Rattus norvegicus: one gene and its partners. The protein of the gene in region 5 purifies or fractionates together with the protein of the main gene of each other region. This does not show direct contact. Links are inferred from orthologs where the notes say so. Each region holds a gene or a part of one and is shown on either strand. Other genes may lie near its edges. The genes, in order: Recql4, Cep290, Mark4, Pkn2 and Pnma2.

Region 1 (5,166 bases), on a different chromosome or scaffold from region 5:
AGTTCCCTAGACCCTGGTTGGTTAGAGAGGTGTCAAAACAGAGTTTCAGATCCTCTAGAGGTTCCAGGTGCTTGTGGGCTTGACCTGAGTGCAAAGGAGTCACAACCTCAGATGTCAGGCAAGGTGAATGTCATTAGTCCTGACATCCTTTCAGAAGTATCTTCACAGAGCCCACAGGCCCTAGCCCAACAGCCAGCCCAAGTTTTGTCACAGATCCCCAAATCCAGCAACAGTAAAGACAGGAAGCGGAAACGGAATGAGAAGGGGGAGGACTTTGCACAAGCCCAGCCCAGCAGCCAAGCAGGACCCCTGTCTGAGGGAGCTGGGGCTACAGCACATGGGCAAGGCCCTCCAGGAGAACCCACACAAGTGACTGTCCCTCAGCACCGCTGCTCTTCAAACCAGGCCAGGACAGAGAATGCTAAGAGTGCGGCCCACCTCCCCATGTCCCCTCGGCCAGCTTCCCTAGACAGAGGGAACTATGTTCGACTTAACATGAAAACCAAATGCTTTGTACGAGTTGGGGCCAGTCGGGGCAGGCTTCTCCGAAAGCAGGTGAGATATGCCGAAAGGAACAGGCCAGCCCTTCTCTCCTCCCATCCACTCCTAATTGGTTCTTCCATTTGTGGCCCTTCTCCAGGTATGGAAGCAAAAGTGGAAGAAGAAACAAGAGTGGTTTGGGAAAAGTGGACCCAGGGCCACAGTCAAGGACACTTGTTTCCGGTGTGGGCAGTTTGGTCACTGGGCATCCCAGTGTTCCCAACCAGGTAAGCCTCTGCCTTAGTATTGGATCATTTAACCCCCGTGGGTGCTAGGGAATCACGTACACAAACGAAAGGCTCCAGCAGCTCTTAACCCTGGTCCAGGCTCCACCCTGACCATCCAGCCAAAAGGTGACAGGAATGACAAACATCCCATTTCCACGTTGGGGGGAGTAGCACAGAAGACTGGCACCACTTCCTGTAACCACTCTGGTGAGTCAGGGGGGATGTGTGATGTGACCTGTGGCCATTATGCCAGGATGGTCTCTGTCTATTCTGGTGTTCCCATATCGCCCTCTCTTGCCTATCTTAGCAGGTGAGGAAACTGAACCTGCTGGACCAGTGCTACCGGTGCCTCATTGCCCCACGCCAGTGTTACCCCTCTACCCACCAGGGCCCTTGGGACAGGTAGCAGGTGAGTGAGACTTAATGGTCCAGACGTTTTTTTTTAAAGATGTATCTATTATATATAAGTACACTGTAACTGTCTTCCGACACAGCAGAAGAGGGCATCAGATCTCATTACAGATGGTTGTGAGCCACCATGTGGTTGCTGGGAACTGAACTCAGGACCTCTGGAAGAGCAGACTCCTTATCAAGACATTGTAGGGCTGGAGAGATGGCTCAGTGGTTAAGAGCACCGACTACTCTTCCTGAGGTCCTGAGTTCAAATCCCAGCAACCACGTGGTGGCTCACGACCATCTGTAATGAGATCTGATGCCCTCTTCTGGTGTGTCTGAAGACAGCTACAGTGTACTTATATATAATAAAAAAAAAAAAAAGACATTGTAGTTAGTGTCCAGTTGCTGTGAAGAGACATCATTACCAAGACAACTTTTTGATTGTTGGGTTTTTGAGACAGGGTTTCTCTCTGTTGTAGCCCTGGCTACCCAGAATTTACTTTATAGACCAGGCTGGCTTCACACTCTTAGAGATCTGCCTGTTTCTGCCCCCCAACCCCCAAGTGCAGGGTTTAAAGGTGTGAGCCACCACTCCCCTGGCAACCACAGCAACTCTTATTAAAAAAGCATTGGAGGGGCTGGGGATTTAGCTCAGCGGTAGAGCGCTTGCCTGGGAAGCGCAAGGCCCTGGGTTCGGTCCCCAGCTCCGGGGGGTGGGGGGGCATTGGAACTGGAACTGGTGGAACTGGCAGACTCAATGGGTTGGGAGCCTGCTTACCATTTCAGTAGCTAAACCCATTATCATCATTGTGGGAAGTAGAAAGGCAGGCTTGGTGCTGGAGAAGGAGCTGAGACCTTTTCATCCTGATCCACAGGCAGCAGGCACAGAGACACTGGACTTGGCCTGGGCTTTTGAAACCTCAAAGCCCATTCCCAGTGACACACTTCCTCTATCAAGGACACACCTCCTAACCCTTCCCAAACAGTTTGCCAAGTGGGGACTGAGTATGCAGACTTGAGCCTGTGGGTTTATTCTCAGTCAAATCACTGTAACTTGTGTCCACAGACACCCCTGCTGAGGTATTCCAAGTCCTGGAGCAGCTAGGGCACCACACCTTCCGCCCTGGGCAAGAGCGTGCTGTCATGAGGATTCTTTCTGGTAGGTGTGGCTGCCTAGGAACTGTACAGTTTGTCTAACCAGTTGAGCCTCATAACTGCCTCTTGTGCTATTCAGGCATCTCCACACTGTTAGTGTTGCCCACGGGTGCTGGCAAGTCTCTGTGCTACCAGCTTCCTGCACTGCTCTATGCCAAGCGAAGCCCCTGTCTCACACTGGTCGTCTCTCCTCTCCTGTCACTCATGGATGACCAGGTATGTGGACGAGCTCTCAGTAGCGGGAAACTCTGAAAACTGACAGCCCTGGGACCCTTAGGTGCTTCTTGTTCCTGAAACACACCAGTTGACCTCTTTCTGAGGGTGACACAGCCTAATGCCCACTGTTCTCCATCTGGTCCCTTACCTCCGCTTCTCCAGGGCCCAGTGTCAGACGCATTTGTTTCAAGAGGGCTAAGTATCTGAGAGCATTCAGGGGAAGAAAGTAGCTTTACTGAGCTGTGACAGCATTGTCTCTCCAGGTGTCTGATCTGCCTTCATGTCTGAAGGCGGCCTGCCTCCACTCAGGAATGACCAAGAAACAACGAGAATCTGTCTTGAAGAAGGTCAGGATGGCCCATGGATGGGGGGGTGGGCATCCATCTACACAGTCCCTCATTCTTTCTTCCCTGCAGGTACGGGCAGCCCAGGTGCATGTGCTGATTGTGTCCCCAGAGGCCTTGGTGGGATGCGGGGCTAAGGGTCCTGCCAACCTCCCCCCGGCCGCTCAGCTGCCTCCAGTCGCCTTTGCCTGCATTGATGAGGTCCACTGCCTCTCTCAGTGGTCACATAACTTCCGGCCCTGCTACTTACGTGTTTGTAAAGTGAGCTTCCGTCTGGGTCAGGGTGGAGGTGGACTTGGACCCAGGTGGGCTAAGTGACTGAACACTATCCCTGGTTCAGGTACTTCGGGAGCATATGGGTGTGCGCTGCTTTTTGGGTCTCACAGCCACAGCCACACGAAGCACTGCTCGTGATGTGGCCCAGCACCTGGGCATAGCTGAAGAGCTTGAGGTCAGTGGGTCAGCCAGCATCCCTGCCAATCTGCACCTCTCCGTGTCCATGGATCGAGACTCAGACCAGGTATGTGTGTACATACCAGGGACCCTGTTAGAAGCCCATAGCTGTCATGTTAATCATTCCCTATTGCCAGGCTCTGGTGACACTGCTACAAGGTGACCGCTTCCGTACCCTGGATTCGATTATCATTTACTGTGCTCGACGAAAGGACACAGAGCGGGTGGCTGCCCTCCTCCGGACCTGCCTGTCCACAGTGAGAGATTCAAAGCCAAGAGGTAGGCACACGCAGGGTTCGGCCCCTAGGAACCCTTTCCTCTGCGTGCTGGCTATGATCTCATCAATCATTGGTTTTACAGGCCGTGGCCCTGAGACTTTAGCGGAAGCATACCATGCTGGCATGTGTAGCCAGGAACGGAAACGAGTACAACAGGCCTTCATGCAGGGCCACCTGCGCATGGTAGTGGCCACAGTGGCATTTGGGATGGGACTGGACCGTCCAGATGTTCGGGCTGTGCTACACCTGGGACTGCCTCCAAGCTTCGAGAGCTACGTGCAAGCTATTGGCCGTGCAGGACGTGATGGGAAGCCTGCCCATTGCCACCTGTTCCTGCATCCTCAGGTTGGCAACCCCATCTCCCCAGACTAAGGGAGACCCAGGGTTACATTATTCCTCAGTCACTTCAGCCCCAGCTGCTATCTTGTTTTCCTGTCAGCTGCCACTCTGGGCACAAGTGTGATAGCTGTGTGCTGTCCCAATGCAGGGTGAAGACCTCTGGGAACTGAGCAGACATGTCCATGCTGATAGCACTGACTTCCTGGCTGTGAAGAAGCTGGTACAGCGTGTGTTCCCAGCCTGCTCATGCGCCCAGAGGCCTATGTCCCCACTTGAGGAAGTCAAAGAGCACAGTGGCCAACAAACATACCCTGTACTGGGACTAGCCTGCCGGGGCCATAAGCGGGCACTCCCAGTGCAGTCTACAGTACTGGCTCTGGACATGAAAGAGGAGGGTAAGGAGCCATGCGTGACAGGGGTTACAGGGAGAGGCTGCTGCTGCCACACCTCCTGAGCCTTTCTCTGCCTCTAGCCATTGAGACTTTGCTGTGCTATTTGGAACTACACCCTCGGCACTGGTTGGAGCTGCTGCCATACACCTATGCCCACTGCCATCTGCGTTGCCCTGGGGGCAGTGCCCAGCTGCAAGCTCTGGTCCACAGGTGAGCATATCTCACCTCAGGGAGGAGAAAGATAAAGAATCAGGGCTGCTGACCACATACTCCTTTGTTCCTTGGGCACAGGTGTCCCCCTTTGGCTGCATGCTGGGCCAAGTGGCCACCTAAAGACACAAGTCAGGGTAGCAGCGCCTTAGAGTTTGATGTGGTGGAACTGGCAGACTCCATGGGCTGGGAGTTGGCCTCTGTACGGCAGGCTCTCCACCAGCTGAAGTGGGACCCAGAGCCAAAGAAAGGTATGCCCACCACTACCCTGGCCTGGGTTGTGCTAGCCAGCTGTTCCCTTCCGACTGACACACTTGCCGACAGGTGCACCACAGGGCACAGGAGTGCTTGTGGAGTTCAGTGAGTTGGCCTTTCACCTGCACAGTCGTGGGGACCTGACAGATGAGGAGAAGGACCAGATCTGTGACTTTCTGTACAGCCGTGTGCAGGCTCGTGAACACAAGGCCCTGGCCCACCTACACCAAATGTCCAAGGCCTTTCAAAGGTGAGAAGGAGGTAGGCAATGGGTAGGTATACCCGTTCTGACCCCATGGGCAACTCTTGACAGGTCTGTCTTGTACACAGTGTAGCATTTCCCAGTTGTGGACCCTGTTTA
Region 2 (5,422 bases), on a different chromosome or scaffold from region 5:
ATTACACCAATCTTACATTCTGAATAATCTAGAACTATTTCATAGAGCTCCTGTAGAGTCCTGATGCCACTCTTACTAATGCGTGATATGATTTGTGCCAGGCACTATGCTAAGGGATTTACAAAACTTTCACTTTATTCTTAGAATGTCATAGGATCAGTATTGTTGTCTTTATTTTGTACTTGATAAATGATTAGTAACCCATCTGTCCTCAAGATCAGGACAACTGGGAACTGGCATAAGAAGGTCAAGCATTAATTCTATGAAAGTTCAGAACTCCTAACCATGCCATGGTTTTAACCCCTGTGCTACTGTGCTTCTTGATAACTAAAACCAATATTCATCCACCTAGAATGGACGTGTGATTGCTAGCTTGGTGTGCTCTTAACACAGTACCAGTGATCTATTAATTCTGTTGACGTTAGGAGGGTCTCTAATTTGTCTAATCCAAAGCCCTTATACTACCTATGTCTTAAGTAAAGGAAGACCAAAAGATAAGCATTTCAGAGAATACTCTGCTTCAAAATCAGTCTGTTTGGATGTCCTAATCAACATGTAAAATGAGGGCAATCAAAGAGCTTTCAGAATACATTATACATATTCCTTAAAGCAGTATCTCACCGACAGTGTGTGTGCAAGACCTCAGTGACTATGCTCAAACTAATAAAGATATGCATATTGACGGCGCATACTGGGGTACTACTCACAGTAGCCAGGGTATAAGATCAGCTACTCTGTCCATCAACAGATGCACTGATAAAATGTGATATAAAATTCTTTAATTTTTATTAAGTCATAAAAATATCTGTATGAGAATAAATGACTACAGGTCATCTTACTCAATAATATAGGTCAGTCTTAGGAATACAAATATTTTCTCTTCTCTTCATCTGTAGAATTGAGATTTACATGAGATAGGACATGAAAATACAAGGGCGACTCTTTTTTTTTGCCTCCAAAAGGAAAATGCATTGTTGTTTGATTTGAAACCTTCTTTGTCCCCTGTCTTTGAGTTATAGAGGACTCCAGTACACTTCCTGTCCTTATGAAAACTTTTTTTCCTCATTTCATCAAACTTTAGCATTAAAACAAAACTCAAAGATTGCAGTGCCATGACACTGTTATTTCTTAGCCTTTGTGCTGTGTGACAACAGCCTTTTCCTCCTGCACTCCTTCATCTATGCCACACACAGTCTTAGAAATTTGGCATATAGTGTAAAACAGTTATATACGGTAGCCAAAGGTATTTGGTGTGAAGGTATAAATGGCCAGCTTGCCATTTTAGTTCTTTGCCTATACAAGTACTTAACAAATTTACTGGTTGCACGATTTTCTCTCAAAAACAAGAATTTCTCTCATATAAAAAAGAATAACCCACATTTCTGATGCCTAGCAGCTACCCCTCTTGCTTGTTGTCTTGTGACCATAGCTACTAGTGGGAGCAGTTTCCATGAGAAGTCTGCACACCATACAGGGCCAGATCATGGCAGACTGTAGGTTTCATGTTTCCTGATTATTCTGAAACAAATCCTCTATCTTTAACTGACTCATAGTCAAGATAAACATGTCATAATTTTCATGGCTATTCTGGCAGATTCTGATCAACTGAAGAAAAAGATAAATGACCTGGAGACACACCTCAGAAAGTCAGAGCCAGAAAAGCAACATTTGAAGGTAATTCTTCTCTGTATCTAACTTTAGTATGCTCAGCGTTTTGTGAAATCAGCTTGAGGAAACAATTTTTATGATCACCATCTTTAAGTATGTGCCTAAAAATCCATGGATTTATTTTACATTTACTTTATTATTATTGGACTCATGACAACTTTTTATTAAACAACTGGCAACAGCAAAAAATCAGACAGAGAGGATTAGAGAATAAATTTATTTTTAAATTGTAACCAATGCAACCCTCTTAGGGTTTTTTTTTTTTTTTTTTTTTTTTTAACTGTTTTCTTAATTTGTGGGTCATGGTGGAAAAGGTGTTTTTTAAGCACCTTGAAATTATTTTCAGGGATCTTTACCTTAAATCATTTCTGTCCTCCCCCTTAAGACTCCAGAAACACAATGGCTAGAAGTGAGCCCTGGCTGCTCACCGCTGTTAGTGTAAACACCGCTCACATCACTCTCCTTCACCAGGTACTCAACTCTTACAAGTCCCAGAGTTTCCGTGATCATCAATATTAGATAGAAAGGTAAAAAATCAGAACATTAAAAATACTGAAAAATCTTAAATGTTGTAAAAAGCAAAATCCTTTTAGCTTGCCTGAGAATATCTGAGGCAGTTTAAAGATCCAATCTTAAAATTAAGCCAAAGATGGCAGCTTATACATTATGCACATGGTACAATGGAACCTTGAACGGTAAAATATAAAGAAAAATATTTAAGATTTTGAGTTTTCGTGTTTACAATCAAATTTAAATTTCAAACCAAAAACATGTATCCTGTATGTAATTTTTAGGAGGAAATTAAAAAGCTGAAAAAAGAACTGGAAAATTTTGACCCTTCATTCTTTGAAGAAATTGAAGACCTGAAGTACAATTATAAGGAAGAAGTGAAGAAAAATATTCTCTTAGAAGAGAAGTTAAACAAACTTTCTGAACAATTTGGATTTGAATTGCCTAGCCCACTTGCTGCTTCTGAACAACGGGAAGATGGAGAAAGTCCTAATGGCGTCCCGATTTATTAATGGCCTCATTTAAAACTGTAGATTTAAAACTACTGATGACATAGAAGTTTCAGCTGGAAATCAGTCTCTGACCTACAGAATTTACCTCTCAAAATACTGTATTATTTTGCTTAAAAATAAAATCATATTTAGTTTTAACTTGTTAGAAAAGTATATTTTTGAAGACCTCAGTAATTTGTGACTATATAGTATATAATGAGCTACGACAAAAATTTATGACTATATAGTATATAATGAGCTATGATAAATATTTCCTATTTTCATATTTTAAATTCTCTAAAAGCATAAAGGTAAGCTTATAACAATCTTACTATTTAAAATTGATTATTTTATACTTATTTTTGTGTTAAGTTATTCAAACCTAACGATGATTTCTATAAATACATAGAAACATGTTTAGAAGTTGACATGTGTTTTGCCAAGCAGCTAGGAAAAATAAATTGACCTGTGTAAACATGGCAAACCTGTCCCAATAAAAAAATCACAACAGTCCCAACTATTATTTCTATTTTATATATCAAGGGTTATATCTTTGAGCCTATCAAATTTCTGCTTATCTATTTTTGAAAACTTATTAAACAAAGACTGGTGATCAAAAGCACAGTCATATTTGTCCAGGTTCATGTTAATAATAACTGGTTTGGAGTTCATGTAGGTATCCGGAAGTGGCCAGCATAAACCAAGATGGTGGCGGTGGACCTGTAAGGAGAAAAAAAATGGTGGTATTAACTTTAGTCCGTAAATTACATCGTAACTTGCTTGTCTGTAAATTACATTGTAGCTTACTTGTAAATACTTATTTCGGGTGTCTGCTACCTACCAGGTACAATGTAAGGGTCCACCTTTTCTTACTTATTTTAATTAAATGTCATAGCTATCATTAAATGTCAGTGCTGTCTGCCTTCCCCATTCGAATCTGAGCTTCCTGAAGGCAGAGCAGTTGCTTTGTTAACTCTGCTAATTCCTGAAAATGACTAACAAAATCAGGAGCTGCTTCCTAAACATTTAATGAGTAGAGTCTGTTGGTGACTACAGAAAAGAAAGAAAGAAAAATGTGAGCCAGACATGTCTGTCACCAAAGGGAATATTCGTGGTAGACTGACTGGTAGGGCAGTCTGGATCACAGCTGGCTGGGACACTGTCAGATAGCTGTTTCCTCCACATGAAAACGTGCCCTCTAGATGGAGCCCCTTTAAGACCCAGAAAGTAAACAAACTTCACAAGTCTCAGGAAGGTCCCTAAAACTGTCAAGATTCCCAAAACTTTCTGCAAGGTTACAATTGCTGGAGAGAAGATTCTCCTCCCACCACAGCAGCTGGGAGCTGCCTGCAAAATGTGTGGGGAGTCCCCAGGATACTGCTTTGTGTCGTCACTCAAGCGGGGAGAGCTCCTGACTGACTGATCCTGCAGCCTTTGGTCCTCCGTGCTGGGAAGTAGCTCCTTACCCATATTCCTGTAAGTAACCCCAACGATGTCCCTGGTTCACTACGGGGTCTGTACTTTATCCATGGTAAGTGGGCATCTGTTCCTACCTCCCTAGAACTAGACAGTCACACAAGCAGACAGCGTGTGTTTGCCCAGATGGCAATGGGAGCCAGTGATGGGAAGTTGAGAAGGGCTGTGTCACGGCAAGTCTCGCCGTCCCTCAACAGCATTTTGCAGGAAGTAATGAGTCAGTTGTGAAGAATGTGCAGAAATGAAAGATGAGTGCTTTAGGGGGCAATAGAGTAATTCAAGCCACTGATTTGCATACTAGCCTAAATTAAAACGAGCACCTAGTTGAATATAAAACAGATTCAATGATGAGAGCTTTAAAGAACTGGTGGCCAGATGTCTGAAGTAATGGCAAGAGGACTTAAACAGTGAACAGCGGCTTCTAATTTCAGTGAGTAATGTGGAGATGGGAGTGCAAAGACTCAGATTTGAACATTATGAATTTCATATGCCAGTGAGAAATCAGACAAGTCCAGGGGACAGGGCACAAAGGGGTAAGGTAATTCATTCTGTGTAAGCTGCCACTGGGCACTTTTCTACTCAACAAATTCTCTAATAAGTTAGTTGGGGAAGTGCTGAATTACACTAGGCACAGCATGGATGAGAGAACACAATGTGCACGAGTTCCCAGGAGGGAATGTGCTATCACTTTACCTCGGAAGAACATCCGGTATAGAAGTGCCTGGCTGAACATCTCCATCAGGACGAAGTCAGCCTGACACTACCCATAAACTTGACTGACAGCATACGAAACGAGGGAAACACTAACTGCATGCCAGAATCTGAGGGTCATCTTTTTATTTTCAGAACAACTTTAAGCTGATTTTGTCATTACCTTAATTAAACAGCCGTCACCGCAATGCCACACAATCCCTTCTATTTGACCCTCTCTGCAGCCTTCAAACCAGGACAGCAGGTCATTGTGTTTCAGTGTAGGCAGGTTTCTGACCTGGAATGCCCCATGTGGTGTAAGAAAATGTAATGGGTATTTCTTGCTTCCTAGCCCTGAATGGTAAAAATTTCAAAAACAAACAAACAAAAACACTTTCAGTCATATTCTTTTCAGAAAGAGTGAGAAAATGTATCTTGCCAAGTGTATAAATAACTAAACATTTAGGAATAGTGCTAACAGAAAGTGTGGTTTTCTGTAGAGAATAATCCCAAGTGCAGTAAGTCCTTTTGTCACTCAAATGTACTTCTTCCATAAGCTCGAAATTCCACTTTCATGTATTATCTGC
Region 3 (6,849 bases), on a different chromosome or scaffold from region 5:
CTGTTGCCCCAGATTCTCCAGTAAACAGCAGAACTTTTTATCCTGCCCCAACATCTTGCCCTGGCCACTCTGTCCACCTCTCCACGAAACACTGTTTCATCCTGACTGCCGCCCTTCCTGACAGTGACACAGGCCCTGTCCTGCCGTCTCCCACGCCATCAGCTCCTCTGTCCCTGCCGCCTGTCCCTCCCCAGCCTCCCTAATGAGGTGACCTGCTCAGGCCCAGCTGCCCTGTCCGATTGGGAACCTCCAGGGACTGGGCCTTCCTTTCTTGGCTGCAGCTCGGAGAGCCAGAAGCCCTGGCTGATCTCCCTCCGTGCCCTCCTCATGGCTGGGAAAACAGGACAAAGAACATGAGGAAGGGAGAAGGCTGGACACACAGCAGGCTGAGGCCTGGACAGACAGCAGGCCGAGGCCTGAGCTGCCTGAGGCACGGAGTCCTGCCCGGCCACTCCTCAGCAACCACCGCATCTCACAAGCACGGAACGCCAATGAAGCCTGTCCTTATTTTACAGAAGGGAAAACTGAGGCCTAGAGCTGGCATCTGAACGCAGCCATTTTAGCAAACAGAAGTTCCTTATAAGTATCCCATTAGACTGACTCATGCTCCTACACCTGTTTTTGTCTTTTGTGTATGTGTGCAGTTCTCATATACTAGAGAAATGCTCCTCCTCTGAGCCACGCCCCCAGCTCCCCACTGGGGGATTCTAGGCAGGGGCTCTACCACTGAGCCCCGCCCCCAGCCCCTCACTGGGGGGTTCTAGGCAGGGGCTCTACCACTGAGCCCTGCCCCCAGCCCCTCACTGGGGGATTCTAGGCAGGGGCTCTACCACTGAGCCCTGCCCCCAGCCCCTCACTGGGGGATTCTAGGCAGGGTCTCTACCACTGAGCCACGCCCCCAGCCCTTCAATGGGGGATTCTAGGCAGGGGCTCTATCACTGCATTATGTCCCCAGTACCCACTTCTTTCTTGCTCTCCTATGGAGGTCAGAGGTCAGTTTTGAGCATCTCCCTCTATTACCCTCCACTGAAACACTCTCCTCACTGAACCTAGAGTCTGTCGTGTCAGTTAGACTGGTTGGCCCTAAGCACCTGGTATCGGCCTAGCTCTACTTGCCCCACCCCCCACCCAACACAGGCGTGTCCCACCATGCCCAGCTTTTACGTGGGTGCTGGAATCTGAACCCAGGTCTTCTTACTTGCATAGTAAGCACTTTACCCAGTGAGCCATCTCCCCATCCCAACTCCCAGCCCTCATTCTAATTTAAATTTTGAGATAAGATCTTGAAAACTTGAAATCCTCCTGCCTCGGTTTCCCCAGTAGCTCACAGGCTTACTCCGCTACCCCTACTTCCCATGTGGCTTTCACTGGGAGGATGATACCATTGCCAGGTCATGTACAAACAGGTCTCTCACCTACACTCTGTTCCCAGCCGAGGCCAGGGAGGGAGGCCCTGAACACACACAGGCTAGGGAAAAACAAAGGCTAGGATAGACAGGTGCCAGCTTCCTCACAAGGACGAAGCCCAACAGGCATGTCATCCCAGCTACTTGGGAATCAGAGGCAATCTTTTAAACTCAAGGTCCATCAGAACAATGTAGTGAGTTCAAGGTCAGCCTAAGCAACTCAGTGAGATACTGCCTGAGACAAAAAAAAAAAAGAACTGAGGAGATAGTTCAGCAGTAGAGAACTTGTTAATTAGGGGCTGGGGGCGTGGCTCAGTGGTAGAGCCCCTGCCTAGAATCCCCCAGTGAGGGGCTGGGGGCGTGGCTCAGTGGTAGAGCCCTGCCCAGAATCCCCCAGTGAGGGGCTGGGGGCGTGGCTCAGTGGTAGAACCCCCCCCCCCCCCCCCCCCCCCCCCCGCCTAACTCTCAGTACTGTGCTGTGGATATGGTGGGCAGAGCCCTAGCCCATGGTACATCCCTAGCACAGCCAATAAAAATAGGATTACCCCGGGCTGGTACCTCACCCTCACCTGTCCCCGGCACATGCCACTCGTACCCCAACTCCTGTGGGTCCAGCTAATGTAATCATTCTCAACCCCAGACTTGGAAGGATTCCCCAAGGCTCAAGCAGGGAAAGTGCTCCAGGCTCCTGAGCATTGATCCCCCCAGATGCCACCACTTCAGCTCATGGCTCAGGGCCCCAGGAGCAGCAGGCTGGTGGTAGAGATGGAAGATAAGGTCTCTGATCCCTGCGGAGTTAGGAGCCTGGAGAAGAACCCCTGTTGGGTGCTGACAGGGGGCTCCCTCAGAAGCAGGAAGGCACTGCACTGAAGGCTGCAGGGCTGAGGGACCCCTGCAAGGGGGTAGCTGGGGCAGGGGATGACGAAACCCCCTGGGGTCAGGGGCAGAAGCTAAAATTGGCCCGCACCACCAGCTGGCCCGGATCCCTCCTGACCGACAGACTGGTGCCTGAACACTGCGCCTGTTGCTAGGGAACATAGGGAAGCCGGCCCGGTCTCCACAGCTCTATTAGTTGGTGTAGAAGAATGTGACCTTTTGTGGGTATCACAACGGTCAGCAGGTAGCAGGGGAGGGGTCTATAACCTCAGACTGCAGAAAGAGACCGATGTCACTCCAGACGAGACAAAGTTATCTTCATAGACTGGAGTCAAAAGACACAACGAATCACCTCAGTACCCTCACTACACCCCAACAATCTCAGGAACGCAGGGGAGAGGCTCAGAGAGGTGAGGTCACTGGCCTGAGGTCACACAGCAGTGCGATGTGAATCTGAGTTTATTTGAATAATTAAGGTAGCGATAATCACAACATGTGACCTGAAGAAGTCCCTGTCAGGGAGGTGCCCCCATCAACCCACTGACAAGGAAACTGAGGCTGGAGCAGACTCTGGGAGCTTGTCTGACGACTAAAGACAGCTGTAGTTGAGAACACACCGCCTTCTGACTCAGATCCCCAGTCATGCCAGCAGCCAACAGCCATGAGCGCCGCCTATGTACCAGCCTTCACCCACATGTCTCCGGTAATTCTTTGGGGGACTCAAGTCGTTACCCCCCAACCCCTCCAACACACACACACACATACTTTCCAAGGCCGGAATCAGGCTCAGAGAAGGAAGCCTCTTCAGGCTTTACAATGTAATCTGGCCCATGGAGGCAGCATTCGAATCCAAGACTCAGAAACCGGGTTCCTCTCTGGAATGACTGGGGAAACCATAGTGGGTGGGCCTGAGTGAAACCTCCAACTTGAAACCTAGGCCAACAGGGTACAGGGGCAGAGGGGCAGAGAGGCATTATCTAATAGCTACCATGTGCATTAGAAACAGGAAAAGCTTCAGGGTGTACTCAGGAGGCAGAGGCAAGTGGATCTTTTTGAGTTCAAGGCCAACCTGGTCTACATAGAGGAACTCTGTCCAAAAACAAAAGTGTGTGGCTGGGCTGTGTTGAAGGTTGGTGAGAGGGTGGCCGGTAGAGGAACCAGCATAAGCGAGAATGGATCGGTGGGCTGACTTAGACACCTGGAAAACTGTCAGAATTGTGGGAAATGCAGGATGGGGAGCGGGGTCCTGCCTTGCCTCCATGAAGGAAGACCCTGGCATGGGAAACGGTGCAGCCAGGAGTCCCCAAACCAGAGGATCTGGGCTCAGTAAACTCCCAGATGTCAGGGCTAAAGACCCAGGCAGGAGGAGGTCAAAGGCATGGGCAGAATGAAGGGAGAAGGGAAGGCCTAGGGTCTGGGGGTGGTGGGGTGGTGGTGGTGGTGGTGGTGGTGGTGGTGGTGGTGGTGGTGGTGGTGGTGTTTCCTCCAGAAAGCCCAACATCCAGGAAGGAAAGGGGCTCTAGTTAGAAGGGAGTTGTGGGGAGGGGATGAGGAGGTGAAATTGGGGAGAGTCTCAGGAGGAGCCAGAGTCAGTCTGGCCTGGGGCCTGGAACCCTAGCACAGGATTGGAGCCTGCAGGTTAGAAACCAAGGTTTTCCTTAGGAAGACTGGACGCGCCTGGGTCGCATCTAGGGGACCCCAGAGGCGACAAGGATCCAAGGACAGAGTAGCCTGGCACAGCAGGGTCAGGCTAGGGAGTAGAGACACCTTGAAGGAAGCGGGCAGGGCCCTGGGCCCAGGTGCCATTTGGCTTCCTGGGGAGGCAGCTCTCAGGAGCCCAAACAGATCTGGGGACTGGCCAGGGGTAGCAGGGAGAGCCAGCACCCCGACTCGACAAGAGGCAGGGAGGACAGCAGGGCCAGGCCGGGTCGGGCCTTGCGAGGGGGATGGGGTAGGGGGGAGACAGGGCTGCGCCTCGGGGAACAGGGGCCCATGCCATCCGGGAAGAGTCGAGGCCAGACTGCGGGCGAGCGAGCGAGCCGGGGACTACGGGGCAGCTGAGGAAGGGAGGGGCTGCCGGTGGGCAGGGGAGGGGGCTTCCTGGAGGGAAGAGACCAGGCGGAAGCGCTCTGCAGAGGGACCGGAGAAGGGTCCAAAGACAGGGGCGCCCCTAGGGGTCGGGCTGGGCTGGGGCTGTCGGGAGGAGGGAGCGGAGAGGCCTCAAAGTCATGGGAAGCGTCGGTCTGGGATGTGGAGCCGGGAAAGGAGTCAAGACTGGCGGGGTCAGTGGTCCGGGAGGGGTTCTATGGCTGGACTCAGCCAGGGTTCCCCAAGGGGCTGGGCCCCACTCACCGTGTCCGAGTTCCGATCGTTGCCCGGGGCCAGCGCCGTCCTCGAAGACATCTTCTTTGGGGTCCCAGGAGGGAAAGGGACAGGGGCGGCCGGGTGGGGGGGGGTGGGGATCTCGGGGTCCCCTCTCTTCCCCTCCCCCCCCAGCCGACCTGGGGACGCGAGCTCAAAAGCTGGGCGCCTTGGACGCCCGAGTCCTCGCTGAGCGAGAGCGAGAGAGGGCAGGACGGGGGAGGGGAGAAGACACAGAGGGTCCTAGTGGCCCCGTGCAAGGGGAACCCGGGGCGCCATCTGGGCAGCGGGCAGACAGGAGGGTGCACGGGCGGGGGCCGGGGAGGGGGCGCGGAGCCGGCCCGGGGCGGCGGCGGAGGGAGGCGACCGAGGGGCTGGGGAGGAAGGGACGTCAGGGGGAGGGGCGCGGTGGGCGGGGTCAGTTGAGACTCCGCCCCTGCCGCCGGCTCTTAAAGGCACAGGCCTGGGCTGGCTCCCCGGTTCTGGGGGCGGAGGCAGGTCTGGGCGTGCCGGTCTCCAGCAAGTTCTCACAAGAGAATCAGAGTCAGCGGCAGAGAGTTGCTGAGGAGAGAGTAGAGGGAGATGTTGAGAGATGGGAGAGGGGACACACAGACGCGAGGTGGGAAGAAGCAAAGTCACAAAGAGGGACAGAGAAGCCAAGGGCAGAGACAAAAGGATCAGGACAGAAAGGGGACAGAGACAGGGACCGGGGAGACACACACACACACACACACACACACACACACACACACACACACCCCAGAGAGAGAGAGAGAGAGAGAGAGAGACAGAGACAGAGACAGAGACAGAGACAGAGACACAGAGACACAGAGACACAGAGACAAAGACAGAACGGAGATAATCAGGCGCCAAGGCAGAGGGAACTAAAGAGACAAAGAGAAACTCCAGGACTGGAAGTCTGCCGAGGAAAGGAATAAAGGAGTGGCAGCAAGAAAGGAGAGAGAGAGAGAGAGAGAGAGAGAGAGAGAGAGAGAGAGAGAGAGAGAGAGAGAGGCAGGCCTGTGTGCCTGTCATCCCGATTGAGAGAATGGGTTGCAGTGAGTTCTAGACCATACACAGCAAGACCCTATCTCAGAAAAGAAAAACCAAAATTGGAGGCAGTCCCTGGGGTGAAGAAGATCAGGGGTTCAAGGACATCCTGAGCTTCAGCCCTGGGTGCAGCAAGGGTAGATAACTGGCCAGCAGCCCCGGCTGTCTCACTTTCCCAGTCTGTACAATGAAGGAGAGAGAGCCTCACTTGCCTGCCAAGATAGCTGGAAGCCCAAACAGGTGTTGACTTGCAGGGGCATACAGACCCGGGTGTGGGGGGTGGGGGTGGGGTGAGACTGTGCTGAGAACACACAGTGCCTTGTGGGAGGAAAGGGGGGGGATGCATCACCCTGGCCCAGAGCCCATTGTCTCGCTGTCTTAGAAAGTCTTCCTGAGCCTCAGTTTCCCTTTGTGAAAATTAGATGTTACAAGCATGGTGGTATCCTGGAAGGTTTGAAGTTCCAGATCATCCTCAACTCCATAGTGAGTTCAAGACTAGCCTGGTCTATATGAGACCCTATCAGACAGAATAAAAGCCACAAGAGACAAAGGATAGCAGCCATGTGCTGGAGCTAGCTCGAGCAAGCTGGTTATAGGACTGGCTACTAAGCATAAACACTTTTAAAAGTTAAAAATGGGGGCTGGGGATTTAGCTCAGTGGTAGAGCGCTTGCCTAGCAAGCACAAGGCCCTGGGTTCGGTCCCCAGCTCCGAAAAAAAGAAAAAAAAAAGTTAAAAATGAGGTGACACAGTGGTTAAGAACACTGACTGCTCTTCCAGAGGTCCTCAGTTCAAATCCCAGCAACCACATGGTGACTCACAACCATCTGTAATAGGGATCTAATGCCCTCTTCTGGTGTGTCTGAAGATAGCAACAGTGTACTCAGAATAAATAAATGAATCTTTTGTAAAAAGTTAAATCATGCAAACATGCAAGGAAGCGAATTGTATTGAACTGGGGCAGGGTGCACTAAAGATGTGGCTCAGCAGTTAGGAGCACTGGCTGCTCTTCCAGAGGACCTGGGCCCAGTTCCCAGCGCCCCCATGGTGGCTCATGACCATCTGTAACTCCAGGTCTAGGGGACCTGACACCTTCTCTGGCTTCTCCAATAACTACAGATGCGTGCACATGCTTGTGTGTGTGTGAGTGTGTGGTG
Region 4 (6,249 bases), on a different chromosome or scaffold from region 5:
TTAAGGGAACACAAATATTGTGTCTAATTAATATTTGCCCATGTATTTGACACTTTCTGAACTTGTAACTCAAACTTAAAGATTTGTGTCTATTGTTTTAATTATGTGGATATGTATGCGGGTGTTCACATGTGAGTACAGGAGCCCAGCAGAGGCAGGGGGGCAGCAATAGGTGCCCTGGTGACTAGGCAGAAACTCTGGTAGAGAGTTTGCAGAGCAAAGTAACACGCTCTGAATGCTGAGCCGTCCCTCCAGTCATTAACTAGAACTTAGTAAGACAGGAAGAATTTTTAAAATTTGTTTGAAGTTTCATTACTAAGGTAAACATTAGATAATGACTTCTGATTTTAAGAGTTATTATTGATCATGCTAAAGAAACATTTATCCTCTTTGGTTTAAAACAGTGATGGGGAAAATAGCAATTTTGAGTTTTTGAAAATATTACTGGTATTCAAAATGAGTGTCCACTACCTGATGAATGGATAAACTATATGATATACATACAGCATGCAATGAAATACTATGCTGACTTTAAAAGGGAGATTCTAGTGCAGGTAAGATGACTCAGTAGGTGAAAGTGCTTGCTGTCCAGCCGTGATCTGAGTGCAGTGTTAGGATCCCGTGAGAGCAAGAGTTCTACTCCTTAAAAGTTGTCCTTGGACCACCACATGCATGCCTACACACACACACACACACACACACACACACACACACACACACACACACACACACACACCACTATCATCACCATTACCACCAACAATATATTTTAATTTTTCACTTGGCATGGTGACATTCACTTTTAATCCTGGCACTTGGGAGGTAGAGACAGACAGATCTCTGAATTTGAAGCCACCTACATAGCAAGTTCCAGGGCAGCTAGGCCTACACAGAGAAACTCTTATCTCAAGAGACCAAATTAAATAATTTTTAATTTTAAAACATGACATTTTTATATTTGTAACAATATACCTAAACCCAGAGGACTTCACGTCGAATGAAATTTGCCAGGCTCCGAAAGAAAAAATGTTGTGTGATCTCATTTGTATGTGGATCCTTGAAAAGAAAGTGGTATCCCTGGTGCTAGGGTAATGTGAGAGGAGAAATGGGAATAAGTGGGTCCTGGGCTACAGGTTTTTAGGACAGATGAATAGGTCTATAGAGAAGATGAATAGTGTAGCTCAAAAACAAAATATTAGAGGTATAGCTTTTAGTTCTTTTAGGATACATATACACTAAAAGCATACCTAGAAGATTATGGATATATATCACTCTGCTTATAGTGGTCATTTTGGTATATTTATATATGAATCAAACACTTTATACCTCTCAGATACGTAGCTGGAAATGTAGCTAAGTCGAATGGTAGAACAGTCAACTATTATGGGTCGGACCCTGGACTCAGTCCCCAGCATTGTAACCAGTCAGCCAGCCAATAAGTAAGATTCACTTATTTTCTCTCAAGAAAAACAACCAATAAAGTTGTTTTTCTATAACACTTTAAAAAAAGTCTTGGTGGCGCATGCGTGTGTGTGTGTGTGTGTGTGTGTGTGTGTGTGTGTGTGTGTGTGTAGCCAGATGTGGTGGCACAAATCTTTAATTCCACCACTGCAGGTGGCAGAGGCAGGTGAGTGTCTATCCCTGGCCAACAAAGACACCATAGTAAGTCTTTGTCTCAAAAAATCAAACATTATTATTAGATTGTGCATAGTTCTTCTAACCCTTTCAATTGCTAGGTTATCAGTTGATCTATTCAGAATATAAGAAAGAATTATCCTTTTCTCTTCTTACCTTTTCATTTTTGATAGGATCGGAAACTCCATGGTACAGCTCAGCAACTGCTCCAGGATAGCAAGACAAAAATAGAAGTCATCCGAATGCAGATTCTTCAGGCCGTCCAGACCAATGAGCTGGCTTTTGATAATGGTGATGGACTACACTTAAATTGTTGTTGTCTTTGACAAGCCTAGAGTACTAAATAAATGTCATCATAAAAAAGGCAGTTGGGGCTAGAGAATCAGCTTACCAGTTATGAGCACTTGTTTTTCTTGCAAAGAACCTGGGTTTGATTCCCAGCACATACAGCAGCTCATAACCATCTCTAACACTAGCCTCAGGGATTCAGGAACCTTGCTGTCCTCTGTAAATACCATTCATGCACATGGTGCCCATACATACATGCAAGCAAAAAGACAGAATAAAAAAACTATGCACATAAAATAGAAAAGTCTTTAAGAAGATATATCAAAACTTTAAAAAGGGAAAAGAGGCAATCACTGAGGGTTAAGGGGGAAGAAAAGTTTCAGTTTGGGAGGTTAGTTTTTGTTTACTTTTACTTGGGATGATCACTTTTACATATTTGCCCTTTGTTTTTCATGTGCAGAACATATTTCTTCATTTCAATAAGGAACCAGATTTTTTTAGCTAATGCTTTAAGAAGTGGGTTGCTATTTAAGAGTGTTCCTTTCTTTAGCACTTTTCCTATTTATGTCTTTATTCCAATGGGACTCTTGAGCTAGTTGTTAACGTAGAGCCAGAGGCTACGATTGTCTCTCAGCGTCTGCACATTGGTTTCAAGTCCCCCGTCAGTGCTATGGCTGCTCAAGTCGTAAGTGGAATGAGTCATAGTGTCTGCTGTAGAGAGTATTCGTGTGTCCTTTCCTGTACTTCTAAGGCATCTGTGGATCGATTGTCACAGCTAGTGCAGTGTCAACACAATGGAAATAGAGGACTGTCTAGGAACTGTTATCAAGAGCGGAGTCTCACATTATTGGTTCAGACCTGGTTTTCCCTCAAACACTTTGTTCCAGGGGTGGTTGAGCACTAGTATGGAGCTTGCTAGTGTGGAAATCCACTGTGTTTCCATATCATTAAGTTATATATAGCAGTGTCTTCAGGCCTAAAGCCTTTTGACAGAGTGTGATTTAGATGTAAAATGGCTGGCTAAAACAACATTCTATATTTCAACCTTTTATTTATTACTATTGTGTTTATTGATTTAACTAAGTTAATGTCAGTAATTCATTTTTTTCCTGATATTTTTAATTACTAGACTAAAATGATTCAATTAATAAATGGATTTTCTTTCTTTTTTATCCTAGCAAAACCTGTGATAAGCCCTCTTGAGCTTCGAATGGAAGAATTAAGACATCATTTTAGGATAGAATTTGCAGTAGCCGAAGGTGCAAAGAATGTCATGAAATTACTTGGCTCAGGAAAAGTAACAGACAGAAAAGCGCTTTCAGAAGTAATTTTAAAAATAATTTTTAGCTGTTTATTATGTTATTTGAAGAATATCCTGGCTTAAATGATGACAATCTTCTCTTTTCCAAACAAGGCCCAAGCAAGATTTAATGAATCAAGTCAGAAGTTGGACCTTTTAAAATATTCACTAGAGCAGAGGTTAAATGAACTCCCCAAGAATCACCCCAAAAGCAGTGTCGTCATTGAGGAGCTCTCCCTTGTTGCATCGCCAACCCTGAGTCCACGACAGAGTATGCTGTCCACGCAGAACCAGTACAGCACACTGTCCAAGCCAGCAGCACTAACCGGTGTGTAGCATGCGGCTCTTCGTTTCCTTCCTGTCAGATTATGGTTAATAGTTGGAGTCAAAGGCATGTGTACAGGACTTCCCTTCAGTTATAGTTTAGGTTCATACAGTAAACTTTACTATGTGCTGGGACTGATAGTACAGCATGGTATCCCTAGTACAGCTAGTATCCCTAGCTACTTGGGATACTGAAGCAAGAGGGTTACAAGTTAAAGGCTTGCCTGGACAGCTTCAGTAAAACCCTGCCTTAAACACGTAACACACTGGAAGAGAGCTTGCTTAGCATACACAAGGGTTCAACCTATGAATGAAAGAAGAGGCTTGCAATGTAATATACAACCACTATTACCACTGTCAAGTTCTGCAACATGTTCATCAACCCAAAAGAAAACCAGTGCTCATTCAATGCCACTCCTCTCCCTAGGCCCCAGCACAATTAATCGTCTTCTTGGCTCAATCATTTGTTTTTTCTAGAGATTTCATTAAAATGGGATTATATACTCTGCAGCCTTCCATAACTGGCGTATTTCACAGGGCACACTTAGTCATCTTCACTGAACGATGTCCACTTTTATACTGTGTTCTGTTTTATTTGTAAGGATATTTAGGTTCTTTTTTTTACCAGCAGGGTATTGTGAATAATACCTCTGTGAACATTTGTGTATGGTGTTTGTTTGTTTGTTTGTTTTGGAACACCTGTTTTCAATCTAGAAGGACACACATCTAGGAATGCACTTGCTAGGTCATATGATTCCTTTGTATTTAAAATTTGAACAGTCATCAAACTTTGACAGGTGTTATGTAATTTAACATTCTCCAAAACAATGCATGTCGAGGTTCTCTACATCCTCACAAGCACTTGTTATTTCCTTTTCTGTTGTTGATTTTCAAGTTATTATAACTATGCTAGTAGGGCCATTATTGAAAGTGGGCTAGAGATTCCTGGCTGGTTTTCTGAAACTGTCTCTTTCTTTTTTCAGTTCTCAATGTGTTTGTTTCATAGTTTTTGACTTTGTTGTATCTATGCATATAATTGTTATATCTCTTTCATGAATTAACTTCTTTTTTGTTTTTTATAAAAAAAACCCTGATATCAAGTCTGGCTTATCTGATTTTAAGTTAGACATCTCCAGTCTCTCAGTGGTTACTATGTGAAGCAAGTATCCTATTTAATCTTAATGAAATACATATTTGGTTATGTGAGTCTTTGTGATAAGGTAGAATTGGATCATTTAATACCTTATGTCAGTGTCTTATAACTATGTAGTTTCATCCATTTATATTTATAATAACTGTCAATAATATATAATAAATTCTAATGCTAATTATTGGAAATTATGTTAAATTTTATAAGCCTATTCTATATGCTTGCCTTTACTTCGGACATATAATTATAAGAGAGTTTCCAGGTCATCTGTACTTCTGACAGATGACTGCAAATTTTCAGAGCCTTAGGCTCACTCCATTCTCCGAGACATGAGTTCTATCAAACCCATGAAGAGCTATACTTACCATTACAGCTGTATAATAAAGGATACAAATTAGACTCAGACAATTACCACATGTTTTAACTTATGTGGGATCATAGATTGAAGAATATGTTGTGTGTGTGGAAGAGATAAAACTAGAAAAAGGATCATGAGAATGAATGAAGAGCTCTTGAAGGAGGGTAGAAGAAAAGAGTGAAAGCTGTAATAAAACAGAAGAGGGTGAGATGAAGGGACCCAGCCAAGGGGGCCAGGAAGCACGGGGAGGAAGTGAGTAAGAGGCAGGTACACTGACACAGGTGTTTGAAAATGCCGGGATGAAGCTCATTAGGATGCTAGCCTAAAAAGTTAATTTAAAGTGGATGGGGGAGAGGGTAGGATGAGCCAAAGGGAAAATGCTTGCAGGTTCTTAAACATGGCACTCCCTGTTTCTTAGGATCAGTCGCCCTGACTAACACATCAGTGTCTTTCAGCACCTAGGCAGTTCTCTTGAGCTTTAAATGCCCTCGTGTTTATTGGGACTTTATTATATGGGTGTGACTGAATGAATCATTACCATGTGAGGAAAATTGCCCTGCTTAGGAGGTCAGGACATCAGTCTTAGATGACTCAAAAGTCCCAAACCTAATATTATGATTAGTCCTTCTAGGAATGTCTTCTTCCCTCATGAAGTTGTCTAGAGACCTTCTGTGAGACACCTTGTTAGCATAAACTCCAGTGTGGTCTAAGGCACCACCATGAGTAACAGATTTCTATAATGACCACGGTTGAAAGGATTTAGATTTCCCTCCCATAAACTAAGAGCAAAAATCTCTTGAATATAACAAAGGTGCTTACTAGAAAATGAGGCCAGCCTGTGCAATTATGAGACGCCTGTCTCAGAACAGAATTGGGAACCTGTGAGATGCTGTATTTCACAAGATGTCCTCTGAGCATAAATGCACACATGCATACATACATACATGTACATAAGATCAAACGGTCACTTAATGTAATTTAAAAGTTTTTTAAACAAAAGACTTGCCTCTGCTACTTTGCTATTTGTTTTACAAATGTTATTTTTTCTATGAGATGACCTTTGTAGATTTTTCTAATAATTTTATTTGTCTTTCACTTATTAATTAGGTTTAATTAATAACCTGCTTTTCTTAGAAACATTCTATTGGTCACATACAGAATTTGTACAGGCAATAGAAGATTCTTCATAAGCCC
Region 5 (5,329 bases):
AGTTGGGAACCACCGCATGGGTACTGGGATCCCTTCAAAAGAGTAGCAAGTGTGTTTAGTTGCTGACGAGTAGCTCTTCAGCCCCTGCCTGGCCAGTTTCTATCTCCTGTTCACATTATCACTCCGTCTGAAGAGACTGACAAGCAACTTGACCAACCAAGCTGTCTGGCCAACCCTTGTGTAGGAAACTAAGATTCAGGAGTTTTAGGTATTGGAACTTAGTCTTGTATTTTTTTTTTTTTTTAACAATCTAGTTAGAGTCCCTCAAACTCCAGGTTTTTTTTTTTTTTTTTACCTCAGAAAGAAAAACAAGATGGAGCTCTAGTGGTAGTATATTCCTCTAATCCCAGAACTCCAAACTTGGAAGGCTGAGGCAGGAAGAATACCAGTTCAAGGCCAGCCTGGGCTATAAGGTGAGAACCTATCAAAACCAAAGAAAAAGGAAAAACAAAAAACCCCAAAACCTTCATTCCTAATGCTTGACTTCAGTCCTGCACTTTAAAGCAAAGTGCACTAGAATGGGATTAGCCTTGTCAAGCATTACCAGATCAGAAATGGAGTAGGGATGTCTGTCAGTTGTTCCTTGAATTGTCCCAGCGGCCAGAGCCCTCCCTTTCCCCTGGCTCCTCTCTGCTCTCGTGTTCAAAGTAGGCCTCTTCTTCTTCCTCCTCACGGACCACCTTCATCAGCTGCAAAAACGTGGGCAGTGGGCCCTGATCCTTCAGCTCCCGTAGCCTGCACCAAAGAACGTTGCTAAGGTTGGCTCCAGCCATGACCTGCTCCAGACGTACCTGGTCAGCAATGTTCCGGGGGATGGCCCTTTTTTCCACAGCTCTCCGGAGCAGAGTCTCCAGCCGGAGCACATAGGCTGAGATTTTCTCTCCTTCTTGCTGATAGGTTTTTAGGTATTTGACCTGTGAGGTTCTACGGCTCTCCATGCTCCCAAACACCTGCTTAAAGGCCTCCAGACATTCTTCTGCACTGATAGAAGGGTTGTCTGCTTGTACTATGTGCATGAGGTCCAGGGCAGGGCCACGGAGGCTCTCTGTCACCCACCTTTTCTTTTCTGTCTCAGGGATGGGCCACTCTTTGGCTATCTCAGTGGCCTGTTCCAACCAAACCTCAAAGGGCTCCTCCTCTGGGGCAGCTACTGTGCTCCCAGAGAATACTCTCAGCTTACAGTACCTCACAGGCAACAGAGGCCTCTGGGCGTGAACCATTGCCTGCCCTACCAAGTGGGCCAATAACTCGGGGGATGTGCAGGGTGTGGTGGCTGGAGACACTCCCTCATGCTTCAGGGCTCGGAACATCCCTGCGACCGTCTGCCCTTCTTTTTCTAGAAAGAGGTTCAGTCTTTGGAGAAACTCAGTGTCCTGATTAGGGGTCTTGAAGATCACTTTCCAGACACCTCCCTTTCCCTGCACCTCACTGGGAACCACAGACATATCCGTGTCCTCCATAAGTTCTAGTAAGACAGCACTGGTATTGTCTTGCTTCTGGAGTATTTTGCCCAGTAGCCGGTAGCTGCCCACACACTTCAGCGCCTCCTGTAGGACTGTCTGGACCTCAAGCTCACCACAGTTCACAGGAATGCCAATCACCAGCAGGGACTTCTGGACATCCACACCCATGATCTTGCACCACTCCTCCAGCAGGGCCACTGCCATTGTCCCAGGGTGTGCTTTTGCACTTGGTCTCCAAGCCGCTCAAAGTCTTGTGGACCAAATGCCTTGTCTCTTCACCCAGTAGCAAGAACCAGACGCTCCCTGTCTGTCTTCAGACCCACAGCAAGGCTGATGGTAGGTAAGGTGGGCTGTTGCTCTGCAGTACGTTTGCTGCTGTTTCCGAGGGTTTGTTGTAGCTGTGTGGTGTTGACTCTGGTCACTGTGAGGCACCTGGAACAACAGTCTCCTGGTTTCTGTCACCTCACCTCTCTCTCTAATCAGTGGGTAGGTGGTGTCCACTCTAGCACCCGACGCTGGGGACTCACACAGCAGGAAGCAAGGACTCCTAGGGAAACAGAGACTCACTTTATACATAGCCCTCTATGTCCCAGGGTACACCCACACTCTAGTGTGGGGTGAAACTAGGAGTGGACCAAGGGCTCTAACTCCCACTGTGCTTGTGCCTACCCCACTCTGGTGAATCCCCTTTTTTGCCGACTGTACTTTTTCCCTGTGTGGACCAGATAAAATCCAGTCTTTCCACCCTGAAAACCCCGTCAGTGAGCAGGATTCAAGACCTTCACCCTTCATCAAAAGGATGAATTAGCAGATGTAGTAAAATACCTGTTTATGTGTTCCAGAATGTTCTTCAAGAGTCAAGGAGCCACGTACTCAGCTTCCAGATCAGGAAGATGTCACACACCTCTATACAGTAGTATACATGTGTCTTACCTTCAGCCAAGTCAAGCTGTCCTGTTATACAAACATGAATAACATGTTTTTAGGCCTAAAATCTAGTAACAAAGATTAATGCCCTTATTAAAGACGTAACAGTTCAGTAAAGGATGAAAGAAATGACCGTCCTCTGAATTTAAAGGAGCAACCTAAACAGGACAGTGTCACTACACTTCTTTGAAGAAAGAGTTGTTCAGGGGATGCTCCTCAGTTAGCAGAGTGCTTGCCTGGAAGAAGCCTTTAGGCAGCCTAGAGTCCAATTTCAGCACCATACAAATTGAGCAATCATTGGTAATACATCCCTGTAATCCCCACACTGGAAAGCTGGAGACAGGAGGATCAGGAGTTTCAGATCATTCTTAGCCACAGGGAGTGTGAGCCAGTGTGGGCTACATGAGAACCATCTTTAAAAACAAATCCAACCGAATTGTGTTTGGTGGCACTCCCAGCATTTGTGAAGTTGAGGCAGGAGGATTGCAAGTTTGAAGTGAATCTGGGCTACATAGAGACATCATGTCTCAAAAGAAGACACAAACAAAACTAAACAGAATCCATTCAAACACTTAAGACTAACTAAACATGGGTATAGCAGAGAAAATTCAAATCTCAGAAAAAGAAGTACACTTTGGAGTTACAAGTCAGTCCTCTTCAGGTTTTGTGTCTAGCCAGACTTTTTCAAGGGCCACACATGGAAAGTCACCCATCCAACTCCCCCTGTGGTGCTTTGAATGAGAATGGGCCCCATGAGCTCATGTATTCAAATGCTTGGTCCTTAGCTTGTGGAACTGTTTGAGAAGGATTTCGGAGGCGGTGCATCACTGACAGTGGGCTTTAAGATTTCAAAAGTCCATACCATTCCCATGGTCAATCTCTGTCCCATGCTTGTGGATCAGATATAAGCTCTCAGCTACTGCTCCAGCACTGTACCTCCCTGTCTGCCATACTCCTGGCCAGCATGGATATGAATTTCCCCTCCGAGACTGGAAGCCCCCATTAAACGCTTTCTTCTATAAGTTGCCTTGGTCATGGTGCTTTAGCAAAGAAATAGAAAGGTAACTAAGATGTTTAAATTTAACATTGTCATTTAAATTTGACTGGGCCATTGAGAAAAAGACAAAAGGCAGAAAACATATTCACCACTAAGTGATGTGTGCCCCATGCTTGCTTTGAAGGGCTGGGGAGAACTAGAAGTGTAAAAGGGGATGCTCCCAGTGACAGTGTGACCCCTTAGCCACGAGGATGCCTTCAGAGAAGCAGCTTCCTAATTGGCTAAAAGTCACAGAGTGCCAACACTAGACTGTGCGTTCTTATGGGGCCCATGTGGTATGCTACCTGATATGTTGTAATTTGGAGCTTGGCCGTGCCTCTCAGACACTTGTAGAGGGTATGTTAGGGTGCTACAACCATCCCCCTTTGGCCTGGACATTTCCCATGACTCTGAAGGAGGCCATATGCCATAGATGCTGGCCTTAACTATGGCAGCAGTAGGAGCAGATCCACTCTTCCTGGAAGGTGCTGAAGACTGGGCCTCTGTGCCAAAACCGGGAGAGCAAGGTGCTACCTCACCCTGTGTCTGACAGAATGGGGGCCCAGAACTTCAGACCAACCCAGGCCTGAGATCTCCTTGTAAAATATGGGAATGAACTTCCTCCCCATATTCATTCGCTTGGAGTCACTTGGAGGAATGAGAGATGAAATGAGCACTGCAGGGGTAAGACTGTAGCTCAGTTGGTCGAGTGCTTGTCACTATGCACAAAGCCTTGAGTCGGATCCCCAGCACTGTGCAAACCAGACATCGTGGCGTATGCCCATTACCCCAGCACTTAGGTAGTGAAGGTAGGTGGATCAGAAGTTTAACTCACTAGGCTACATAGGGAGTTTGAGGCCAGCCTGGGGTTACATAAAGGACCTTTTCTCAGAAAGAGCAAAAACAAAAGAGACATACCAGGCAATGGTGTCATGTGCCTTTAATCCTAGCATTTGGAAGGCAGAGGCAGGTAGAACTCCGTGAGTGAGTTCCAGGCTAGCCTGGTCTACAGGGTAAGTTCCAGGACAGCCAGGGTTTTTACACAGAGAAATCCTATCTTGAAAAACTGAAACAAAACAGAAAACGAACAAACAAGAAAGAAAAACACAGCCAACCAATGGCACTGGATGCCCAGATCCAGAAAAAAATTGTCACGTGAAAATCCACTAGTCTTAAAGGCCCCACGTGTCTGGAGAGACTGCTCAGTGGTTAAAAGCACAGGTTTGGTTCCTAGCACCCACATGTTGGCTTACTCTGTGACTTCAATCCCAGGGCATCTGGCACTTTCGTCTGGCCTTCAACAGCCCCGGGCATGTACACGGTGCATGTGCATATATTCCAGCAAGATACATACATACATAAAATGAAAGTTAATCAAAAATAATTTTAAAACCATAAGTGAAACACCCTTAATGTACAAAGAGCCACTAAGGAAATATTCGGGTATGGAGGAAGAATGCAAGGATTTTGTATTTTTCTCACTAAAGGGGCCTACAGGATAACCTGTTGAAGGAACCAGGCTGGGGGGGGGGGCAGAATTACCGGGTAGTTCAATTAGACACATGACCATAGGCATAAGGCCTCCTACACTGGTGTTCTAACTTGGAAGGCAGAGAGGTTGAAAGACCTCACCTCAGGACTTTAGTGCAGCATTGACAATTCCAGTGGAAAATTTCTATTAAAATGTCAAGCACATCTGGTGCTAAGGTCCATCGGCTCTCCTCCCATGGAGTCCTTTCAGCTCCTACAGGATGGTGTGGGGCGTGTGTGTGGTGTGTGTGTGTGTGTGTGTGTGTGTGTGTGTGTGTGTGTGTGTGTGTGTGTGAGAGAGAGAGAGAGAGAGAAGAGAGAGAGAAGAGAGAGAGACTCCATCCATCAAGCTATCTCCAGCAACAGGGGGCGT

The links.
Region 1: the proteins of Pnma2 (region 5) and Recql4 purify together in Homo sapiens (affinity purification with mass spectrometry; 3 studies listed by BioGRID and IntAct, with this or other methods). This does not show direct contact. The link is inferred for Rattus norvegicus from reciprocal best matches to the Homo sapiens genes PNMA2 and RECQL4.
Region 2: the proteins of Pnma2 (region 5) and Cep290 purify together in Homo sapiens (co-immunoprecipitation; 3 studies listed by BioGRID and IntAct, with this or other methods). This does not show direct contact. The link is inferred for Rattus norvegicus from reciprocal best matches to the Homo sapiens genes PNMA2 and CEP290.
Region 3: the proteins of Pnma2 (region 5) and Mark4 purify together in Homo sapiens (co-immunoprecipitation; 3 studies listed by BioGRID and IntAct, with this or other methods). This does not show direct contact. The link is inferred for Rattus norvegicus from reciprocal best matches to the Homo sapiens genes PNMA2 and MARK4.
Region 4: the proteins of Pnma2 (region 5) and Pkn2 purify together in Homo sapiens (affinity purification with mass spectrometry; 3 studies listed by BioGRID and IntAct, with this or other methods). This does not show direct contact. The link is inferred for Rattus norvegicus from reciprocal best matches to the Homo sapiens genes PNMA2 and PKN2.

Annotation. Positions count from the first base shown.
Region 1 is NC_086025.1:110,304,898-110,310,063, reverse strand, and holds part of Recql4 (ATP-dependent DNA helicase Q4), read left to right. Parts: coding exon 1-555; intron 556-640; coding exon 641-767; intron 768-848; coding exon 849-974; intron 975-1,074; coding exon 1,075-1,176; intron 1,177-2,229; coding exon 2,230-2,322; intron 2,323-2,397; coding exon 2,398-2,534; intron 2,535-2,797; coding exon 2,798-2,881; intron 2,882-2,950; coding exon 2,951-3,139; intron 3,140-3,218; coding exon 3,219-3,398; intron 3,399-3,468; coding exon 3,469-3,610; intron 3,611-3,691; coding exon 3,692-3,954; intron 3,955-4,096; coding exon 4,097-4,343; intron 4,344-4,420; coding exon 4,421-4,550; intron 4,551-4,631; coding exon 4,632-4,801; intron 4,802-4,874; coding exon 4,875-5,055; intron 5,056-5,135; coding exon 5,136-5,166. UniProt on the Homo sapiens protein: An ATP-dependent DNA helicase which unwinds dsDNA with a 3'-overhang in a 3'-5' direction. Does not unwind more than 18 bp of dsDNA. May modulate chromosome segregation. The N-terminal domain (residues 1-54) binds DNA Y-shaped DNA better than ss- or dsDNA.
Region 2 is NC_086025.1:37,282,674-37,288,095, forward strand, and holds the end of Cep290 (centrosomal protein of 290 kDa), read left to right. Parts: intron 1-1,594; coding exon 1,595-1,674; intron 1,675-1,871; exon of another isoform or gene 1,872-2,139; coding exon of another isoform or gene 2,140-2,187; exon of another isoform or gene 2,188-2,462; coding exon 2,463-2,690; 3' UTR 2,691-3,200; downstream 3,201-5,422. Other genes in the region: Rlig1 (RNA ligase 1), read right to left, coding at 3,201-3,389, 5,020-5,189. UniProt on the Homo sapiens protein: Involved in early and late steps in cilia formation. Its association with CCP110 is required for inhibition of primary cilia formation by CCP110.
Region 3 is NC_086019.1:88,231,845-88,238,693, forward strand, and holds the start of Mark4 (MAP/microtubule affinity-regulating kinase 4), read right to left. Parts: upstream 4,710-6,849; 5' UTR 4,686-4,709; coding exon 4,635-4,685; intron 1-4,634. UniProt on the Homo sapiens protein: Serine/threonine-protein kinase. Phosphorylates the microtubule-associated protein MAPT/TAU. Also phosphorylates the microtubule-associated proteins MAP2 and MAP4.
Region 4 is NC_086020.1:234,495,006-234,501,254, reverse strand, and holds part of Pkn2 (serine/threonine-protein kinase N2), read left to right. Parts: intron 1-1,808; coding exon 1,809-1,926; intron 1,927-3,101; coding exon 3,102-3,247; intron 3,248-3,337; coding exon 3,338-3,551; intron 3,552-6,249. UniProt on the Homo sapiens protein: PKC-related serine/threonine-protein kinase and Rho/Rac effector protein that participates in specific signal transduction responses in the cell.
Region 5 is NC_086033.1:45,288,710-45,294,038, reverse strand, and holds part of Pnma2 (paraneoplastic antigen Ma2), read right to left. Parts: intron 5,171-5,329; exon of another isoform or gene 5,059-5,170; intron 2,418-5,058; 5' UTR 2,289-2,417; intron 2,011-2,288; 5' UTR 1,668-2,010; coding exon 573-1,667; 3' UTR 1-572.